Arabidopsis thaliana: one gene and its partner. The protein of the gene in region 2 binds, or shares a complex with, the protein of the main gene of each other region. Each region holds a gene or a part of one and is shown on either strand. Other genes may lie near its edges.

What was found.
Region 1: NFC5 (region 2) and AT5G40340 share a complex: the UniProt entries of both Arabidopsis thaliana proteins name them as parts of the PRC2 (polycomb repressive complex 2) complex.

Annotation. Positions count from the first base shown.
Region 1 is NC_003076.8:16,133,621-16,137,698, reverse strand, and holds the start of AT5G40340 (Tudor/PWWP/MBT superfamily protein), read left to right. Parts: upstream 1-2,305; 5' UTR 2,306-2,839; intron 2,840-3,006; 5' UTR 3,007-3,018; coding exon 3,019-4,078. UniProt on the Arabidopsis thaliana protein: Together with PDP1, PDP2 and PDP6, interacts with MSI4/FVE and MSI5 to suppress FLC, MAF4 and MAF5 expression by regulating the function of the PRC2 complex and modulating H3K27me3 level, thereby promoting flowering.
Region 2 is NC_003075.7:14,560,766-14,564,843, forward strand, and holds the start of NFC5 (nucleosome/chromatin assembly factor group C5), read right to left. Parts: upstream 1,837-4,078; 5' UTR 1,758-1,836; coding exon 1,504-1,757; intron 1,012-1,503; coding exon 951-1,011; intron 842-950; coding exon 782-841; intron 684-781; coding exon 621-683; intron 504-620; coding exon 438-503; intron 321-437; coding exon 246-320; intron 125-245; coding exon 49-124; intron 1-48. Other genes in the region: AT4G29735 (uncharacterized protein), read right to left, coding at 2,197-2,244, 2,338-2,416, 2,608-2,673, 3,295-3,395, 3,510-3,512. UniProt on the Arabidopsis thaliana protein: Core histone-binding subunit that may target chromatin assembly factors, chromatin remodeling factors and histone deacetylases to their histone substrates in a manner that is regulated by nucleosomal DNA.

The DNA.
Region 1 (4,078 bases), on a different chromosome or scaffold from region 2:
TGTTACCTTTATTCCCAATGTATCCAATTTTGTGCATGACAATGCAACATGTGGAACCCGACGTTAGCCTAACTCTTTGAGCTGAACTATCAAAACCTTAAATCTTTCTAAGAAATTTCCATTATATTAGAGGATGAAAAAAAGACAACATGAATGAAACAACAATTTATATACTCGATCTAAAGAAAATAATAGCATAAATTAAAATTTTCAGAAAAAAACAAGAGGGAACATTGGTGTGAATAAGTGTAGTTATTGTGCTAAATTAAATTATGTTGGTCTATAAAGTATTGGTTAATATATATCAAAACATCAGAATGCTATAACGTCTAGATTAACTTGAGCTTTAGCAATTCGCATGAAGAAATAAAATTTGATGGTTAATTTTTGATCCAAAAATCATCTGATTACTAAAAATAATAAAGAAGAATAATCGGACCGACAAGGATATTATTCGTGGACGACAAAAAGTTTGGCAAGGGAGTGAGTTCACTACAGTAAGACGGCATATGTATTTAAGGATTACCAAACTTTTTGCTTTAGCCAAGGAAGCTTTTTCTCAAGAGCCAAGAGGCACACTTGTAAAAATATATAATCAAATATATGTATATATCAAACTAAATCAATACATATCAAATGTTGTCCTTGCATATACACAAGTAATTTCACATATGTGATAGTGATAGTGGTAGAGATCATCATCTTAGTTGAGACTTAATTAAATATGAACAATCAAGTTCGCTATTGCATCTATATATGTTTTTGCCTTTATTTCTAATCATGTAGATTAAGATCATTTTTATGATATGCGTATAAATATTGTAGAAAAGATTAAGGTGCACAATCTAGATTTGGATAGATAGAAAAAGTAGAGGCATTGGTTTAGCTATCATATGTTCTCATCACATCAAGAGACTTGGATCTTAATTAATCAATGTTTCCATATTTACTGATAAATAAAAAAGTTATAAAGTAGACAAACCGTTGATATAATTTTTCACGTCCAAAGAGAGTACGTAGATCACCTCATGACCAGGTTGCTTTATAGTGTTTAGATTGTATAGCATTCATATTCTGACTGAATCTCTAGAACATATGCTCAAATCATTTCGTTTGGAGTTTTGACCCATCCTCAAATCATATTATATATGCATTCTATGCAAGTACAAATATGAACCATTACATTTTGTTGAATTAGGTTGCATGTCTTTTTAGTTTTGCCCACATGTTTTTCGTGTGAGAATTGTGAATTCCCCATGTGAATCATAAATGAAAAGATAACATGGTGGGTCGTTCACAACTTACAATTCGGAATTATTTTAAACGTGTCTGAATTCCCTTGGCACTGTAATGATCCGTCTGTTACGTTGCCTTGGGCCTTGGGCTTTGGAGATGGACTAATATTTACACAAGTTGGGTTCAAGGTCATTGAGCTTTCTTTCAAACTATGATTAAGTAGTGGGAAATATATGATTCATATATCACTATTACTTGGTATTACAGTTCTAATACAGATTATACAGTTGATTCATATTGGTTCGCCGTCGATACTACATATAATCATGTCATGAGAACGTGTTGTTCGTGTAAAATTAACACAACAAGAAAATTACGTTTAGATGTATCAAATGTTATCCTAACAGATTTCACATGTTATATAGTCTCAACGAAAAAAATTAAAACATTTAAACTGGGTCAAAAGATGTATTTAAGCGATTTTCTTATATGGTGTAACATAAGTTGACCAAAAAGATTGAATATGAATTAGTGTGAAGATTGATTCAATGACTAAATCTAGTTTAATCATAAAATCTAAACATTTATCTTTTTTTAATAAAACTCAAACCGATAAATAATTTTGTTTTAGTAACAAATTAGATTTTATAAGTAAATTAATTTTTTTATTATTATTAAATGTCAAATTTTAATTGAATAAAATAAAAAAAGTGAATATAAGGGTTCAACTCAAATATTTTTCAATTCAATATATATAACCAAGATTTTCGTTACCACTCCACTTAAGTAATGCAGTGAATGAAAAAGAAAAAATAATCAGTGTCTAAAATCAAAATACCGTTGGTCAGTTGAATAATGAAAAAGAAAAGATCTTTGATTTTCCTTTTACTTGGTAGATTCCTACTCTTTAGGATTGAGGTTTTAATAAAAGACTTTAATCAACAAGCACTAAATTTAAGATACTGGTGTTGTGTAATAATAAGTTTGGGCCGAGCAAAAAAAGAAAAGGACTGGGCCGAGAAACGGCAAATATTTGTGTCGTTTCAAATACCAAATTCAAAATCTCCATTCTTTTATTACTCTGCTTATTAGCCGTCTAAGCATATTACAGCTGTCAATCATCGAAAGCATGTGACGCGTCTCTCTTATTTCATCCCACTCGCGTTCATATACACGTGTTATCTACTCTCTATCCGATTTCCGCCACGTAAGAATCTAGACACTGATGTTCTTATACACATAGCGAGTAAGCTGTATTTTACACTCTCGTAGCTAGTCAGTTTATTGTGATAGCGACACGGCTGATTTAGGGAAATAAATTAAAAACGTTGTCTTATTCCTGGGGCAAAAAAAAGCAGATAAGTAAGCAAAAAAAAAAACTCATTAATTACGAAAGTACCCTTAAATTTCTCCGAAAGGAAATTTTTGCGCCGCGTTTCATCTTCTCTCAAATCAAAATCCAGAGAGAAAAAAAAGAGAGGATTTTTCTCATGAGATTCTGAGAGTGTCTTTGTTCTTCTTACAAAGAAGTGTTTTTTCTTGAAGATTCTTCGGTCGCTGTTCGAAAAGTTGTTGTTTCGTTTCTCTCGGAGCTCAAAATCAGGTAAAAAATTTGTTACTTTATATTTTCGTTTTTCTAGGTTTTTCGTAAGAGTTAACCTAATTTCAAAATTTGTTTTTTTGGGAGATATTGTTGGGTTTGTGTGTAAATAGTTAGGTTGATTTTTTTTTCTGATTTGTTTGTCGTTTTGTGATTTTTTTTTTCTACAGTCGGGAAGAAAAATGGAAATTGAAGTTGTTTTGGGAATCGGAGAAGATGCGGGACCTAAGCCTTGTTCTGCAGAGATTGAATCAGCTGAGAAAACCCTAAAAGATGATGGTGTTGTTCAAGAGAACGGTGTTAGGGTTTCCGACAACGGTGAGAAAAAGTCTGATGTTGTTGTTGATGTTGACGAGAAAAATGAGAAGAATTTGAACGAATCTGGAGTTATTGAAGATTGTGTTATGAATGGAGTTTCTTCCTTGCTCAAATTGAAGGAAGATGTGGAAGAAGAAGAAGAAGAAGAAGAAGAAGAAGAAGAGGAAGAAGAAGATGGCGAAGATGAAGAAGAAGAAGAAGAAGAAGAAGAAGAAGAAGAAGAAGAAGAGCATGGATACTGTGTAGGAGATTTTGTGTGGGGAAAAATTAAGAATCATCCATGGTGGCCAGGTCAGATTTATGATCCATCAGATGCTTCAGATTTGGCTTTGAAGATAAAGCAAAAAGGGAAATTGCTTGTGGCGTGTTTCGGAGACGGGACATTTGCTTGGTGCGGTGCGTCGCAGTTGAAACCGTTTGCAGAGAGTTTCAAAGAGTGTTCGAAAGTGAGTAATTCGCGGAGTTTTCTAGGTGCAGTGGAAGAGGCGGTTGAAGAAATTGGTAGACATATTGAGCGTGTATTGGTATGTGATTGTGCTGAGGAGAAGAAGCATGAGTTTGATAGTCCTTTAGTTAACAATGCTGGGATTAAAGAAGGTGTTTTGGTGCGTGATGTGAGACGGGAAATGATTTCGTCGTTGTTGATTGGTAAACATGGAGAGATTCTTAAAGATGTTAAGAGTTTTGCAGAGACTGTTAGTTTTAGTGGCTTGCTTGAGCTGGAGATATTGAAAAGGAAGGTATCTGCGTTTTATCGGTCTAATAGAGGATATGGTTTGACTGAGTATCATGAACCTCAATCAGTTCCAGGACTTGAAGACAAGAACAATGATGATGATGATGATGATGAAGAAAAGAATGTTAATGATGGGTTACAATGGCGTGCTAAACGGTCTAGAGTAGAAGAAGTAGCAGCTTTGGATC
Region 2 (4,078 bases):
AAACTTGCAAACCACAAGATATGACACAAAAATAGAACTGATACAAACCTCCAGAGAGAACAAAAGGTTCGGTTGGGCACATTGCAAGAGCAAATTCAGCATCATCCTGGTGCCCAATTAGTAACTGAAAATAAAAGTTGTTCAAATGATGCAAAAAGAGTAGCTCTTTCGATTGTTAATATGATGCACAAGCAGGTTGTTTAACTCAGTGAGACAACATAACGAAAATTCTCACAAGAGCATACCAAATCTGGACGAGAATCTGGAGCTCCAAGCACAGCATACCGGTCTGGTTGAGTCTCAGTGTTCCAAATGAGAATCTGAAAACCAATATATCATACTTGCATGACTGAAACTGGAACTATTCAAAAACAAGGATACTGAATAACGAAAGCCTTTTTTTTGTCACGCTGATGACCCGAGAAAGCAGAACTTACATCAGGACTGTCGGTGTGAGTAGCTACAATCTTGCTATTTTGAGGGAGTTCCCTAATTCTGTTGACCTGCGATGAATGAAGGGTACACAAAACAAAATCTTTTTCAGCACTCAAGTCCTAAACGAAATGCAGATTCAGTAAATCCATCTAAGAAAAAACAATGAGAATACAGGAATATCACACCTCTCCAGGGTGGATGATGGTCTTGTACTTCTTCACAAATGGAGAGTGTGCCTTTTCATTAAGCTGAAAGCATATAAAGAAACGGTATTTCAATAATTTCATCTCAGCAGAGAGTAACACAAGGACAAAAGCACAAGCTTTGGTAGAGAAAAACTAATTACCTGCCTATTAACAGTTTCGCAATTGGCTATGACCAAAGTATTAGGCACACTGCCATTCGTCTAATGACAGAACCAAGAAAAAACGGTAAACATAAGGAGCAGTAAACAAACTTTGGATATTTTTCATCAAGAAAAAATGTACAAACCACAAGAACAAGAGCAAACTCACTTGTTCCGAGAGATAGAGACGTTGAGTCTTAGAACCTGCTTGCTCAAGCTGTGGCCCCCATCTGCTCAAATCAAACAACAGGATTACAACGAAATCGTACCTCTTTACACAAAAGCTAAACACTTCACTAAATCGTAGCACAGCTAAACATCTGAAACCAAAAAGTAACAAAACAGAACACCTAAACCGAGTTGGTCAAGTGTTATCAACGACATCATTTTCCTACCAAAACAAGTTCCAGAGGTTCAAAAATGGAAACATCAGATAGCTAATGAGCTAAAAGCCTAAAAGAGAAAGAAACACAGAAAAGCATGGAGACTGAGCTAAATTAAAAACCCGAACTAGAACATGTCCTAATCTCACAAATTCCAGAAACCAGCTAAGAAAAACTCTCAATCTATGAGTATTTCACTAGCTGAAACGGAAATGTAACTCAATCGCCTGACCAAAAGCACAAAGCTAGAATTTTTATTTCCCAAAAAAGAACCAACTTTCTCCAAAACCAAAGATCGAAAACCCTAGAAACAGAAAACCTATAAAAAAAAACACAGACCTGCAAGAGAGAGAGGGCCAGACGAGGGTATGATTAACAAACGAATCATAGAGAATGGGAAGAAGAGTCTTCCACTGAGAGTAAGTGTCGTCAACGGTGGCCTTTTGACTCTGCTGTAGCAAAAATGGTAACTGAGACTCGTTGTTGCTCTTAGGTTTCCGTCTTCTCTTATCCGTCAAAATGGCTGTCACCGGAGTCCTAGGTGCTCTTCTCGGCCTGGTGGCTTGAACAGTCGCTGCTGCTTCGCTTTCCATTTCCTTCTTTTCTCTCGTTTTCTCTCTACTCTCCTTTGTTTTTTTTATAATATTATTATTTATGCCACGTGGAGTAAACTTCGTCCCGGCAAATACCCAATAGGCAAATACTTAAATTAGCGAATTAAAATGATTTCTTCACACTAAAGAGTATAATCAGTATCTTCCCATTACAAAATTTGAGTAAAGCTTTCTTCTAAATCTTGGTAGAAAGTTACTAACTGATCAACTTAACAACGCAAACGCTGTTCTAAAGGCGGTGAAAATTGAAACCAAAACTCGGTTTAGCGTTCAAAAGAAGAAGATAATTTAATTGTAACTTGGTGTTTAAAGGCTACTTCTCAAGTCTTAACATTCATAACTCTGATTTTACTTGAACAAAGATAAATCTGTTTTTTTTGTCTTTGAACTAGTTGGGAATAGTATTGAGGAAGAAGGATCAGACATAAACACCACTAGCAAGTAGCAAAAACAACGATCCAAAACCCTGCAAATAACACAGAAACAGATTTTAACCAAACATTAGATTTAAAGAAAACTCTTAAACTTAAGTCAAGAGGGTGAAGAAGAAAATCCATACCAAGAAGACAGATGCAACTGCTGAAGTAGCGAGCTCCTTTCCGACGCTTCGGTTTTTCCTGGATGATGTAGCTTCATAGCTGCAACACAAATGTTATGACAGGGTAAGTTTTGATCACTCCTTGTTGGGCTGAATGAATCTAAACCAGCACAATGAATACCAAAAGAGTCCAATATGACCTTATTACAAAGAAGCTAAAATGAATGGTTCAAGTCTATCTTAAAGTTTTGACTCGAGGCTAACCCACATGCTCTCGTAGCCCAGACGCACATTACTTTAACAAACCGAATCATATCTCCTAAAACTTGCCACCCTTTGAAAGGTAAATGCTCCACGCTTAAATGAAAATCATACAAATCTAACTTTCTTGTATCTTAACTAAATCGATAATCAGTCATTTTGTCATATTCAGTGAAACTATTAGAGTACTGATTCCATTTCCATAGACTATCACCTTATCATTGATAAATTTTGAGTCTTTATATCATGATAGTATATAGAGCTCACACATTTCCAAAAGGTTACTAGATGAGTCCCATGACTTTCTTACTTTTTACCCAGAAACTTTAGTAATAAGAAAGGCACATATTTCAACAGATTAATCTAGCAAAGAGATCATGAAAGTGATGAACATGTAGCTTCAGGAGCTTTAGAAGACCTATCTCTAGAGAATAGCAATTGAGAAAGCATTGTGACCAAACCATATATATAAGCAGTAACAATGTTGGTCAAGCTTCATACACAGTGAACAAACAAGAGGAGAGCCTCACACGATTCATAGTTCAGAACCTAGTCATGACTATCACACACTAATCAAGCTTTATGAAAATCAAGATAAATCATAGGTAGATCGAATCTATCAGGAACTGTTTCACTAATCTGACATCAAGTAATATAAATTGAGAACAAGAAGGGGCAATTTCGAAGATCTAGAGATCAGATCAATTATTAGCTTACATGAAGAAGATAGCGGTAATGACGAGACCAATCGCAAGAGTGAACACCGATAAAGTCGGATACAGCGCCACCGGAATCGGACTCGCAATCGGTTTCGCCGCCTTCTCACCGGGAACGAGCACAAACACACCAAACAAAATCAGAAATCGTAAAAGCAACAAATAGAGAGATCAAATTAGCTGTGACTGAAAGCACTTGGACGGATCTAGATTTACCATTGTTGCTAAGCTCTTCTTCTTCTTCTTCGATCTGAGGAACAATGAAAAAGCTATTTGACTGATCTCGCTCGCTTGATCGCTTCACTAAACAAACACGAGTCGCTTCCGGTTTGTACTTAACCGGCTTGTTATAACACAACCACGGTTATTTTATGGGCCAGTTTTTCTGTTTAAAGGTTCGATTTAATAGGCCCAAATATACTTATTAAGGCCTTTGATATAAAATGTGTTCATATCTTTATCTTCTTTTAACGTTGTATAACTTTATTCAAAGTGCAATGTGATCCTTTACCATTTTCGAAAATTGAAATCCACTTCAATGTAGACATCTCCAACTCCTTGTCAATCAATTTCCGGATTGAAGATTGGGTACTCTCTCTAGATTTAGTTCCCACCTGAAAATATGGGACCGGATGTAATAGTAACAGATTTTTGTATTGGTCAACAATGACTTATAGATTTCGTTTTTTTCATGGAAAGGACTTAGAAATTGGTTAGGGTTTAATTTGTTGACCAATACGAAAATATGGTCCCAAAGAAGTGTTGCCATACTAAATGACGAAAAC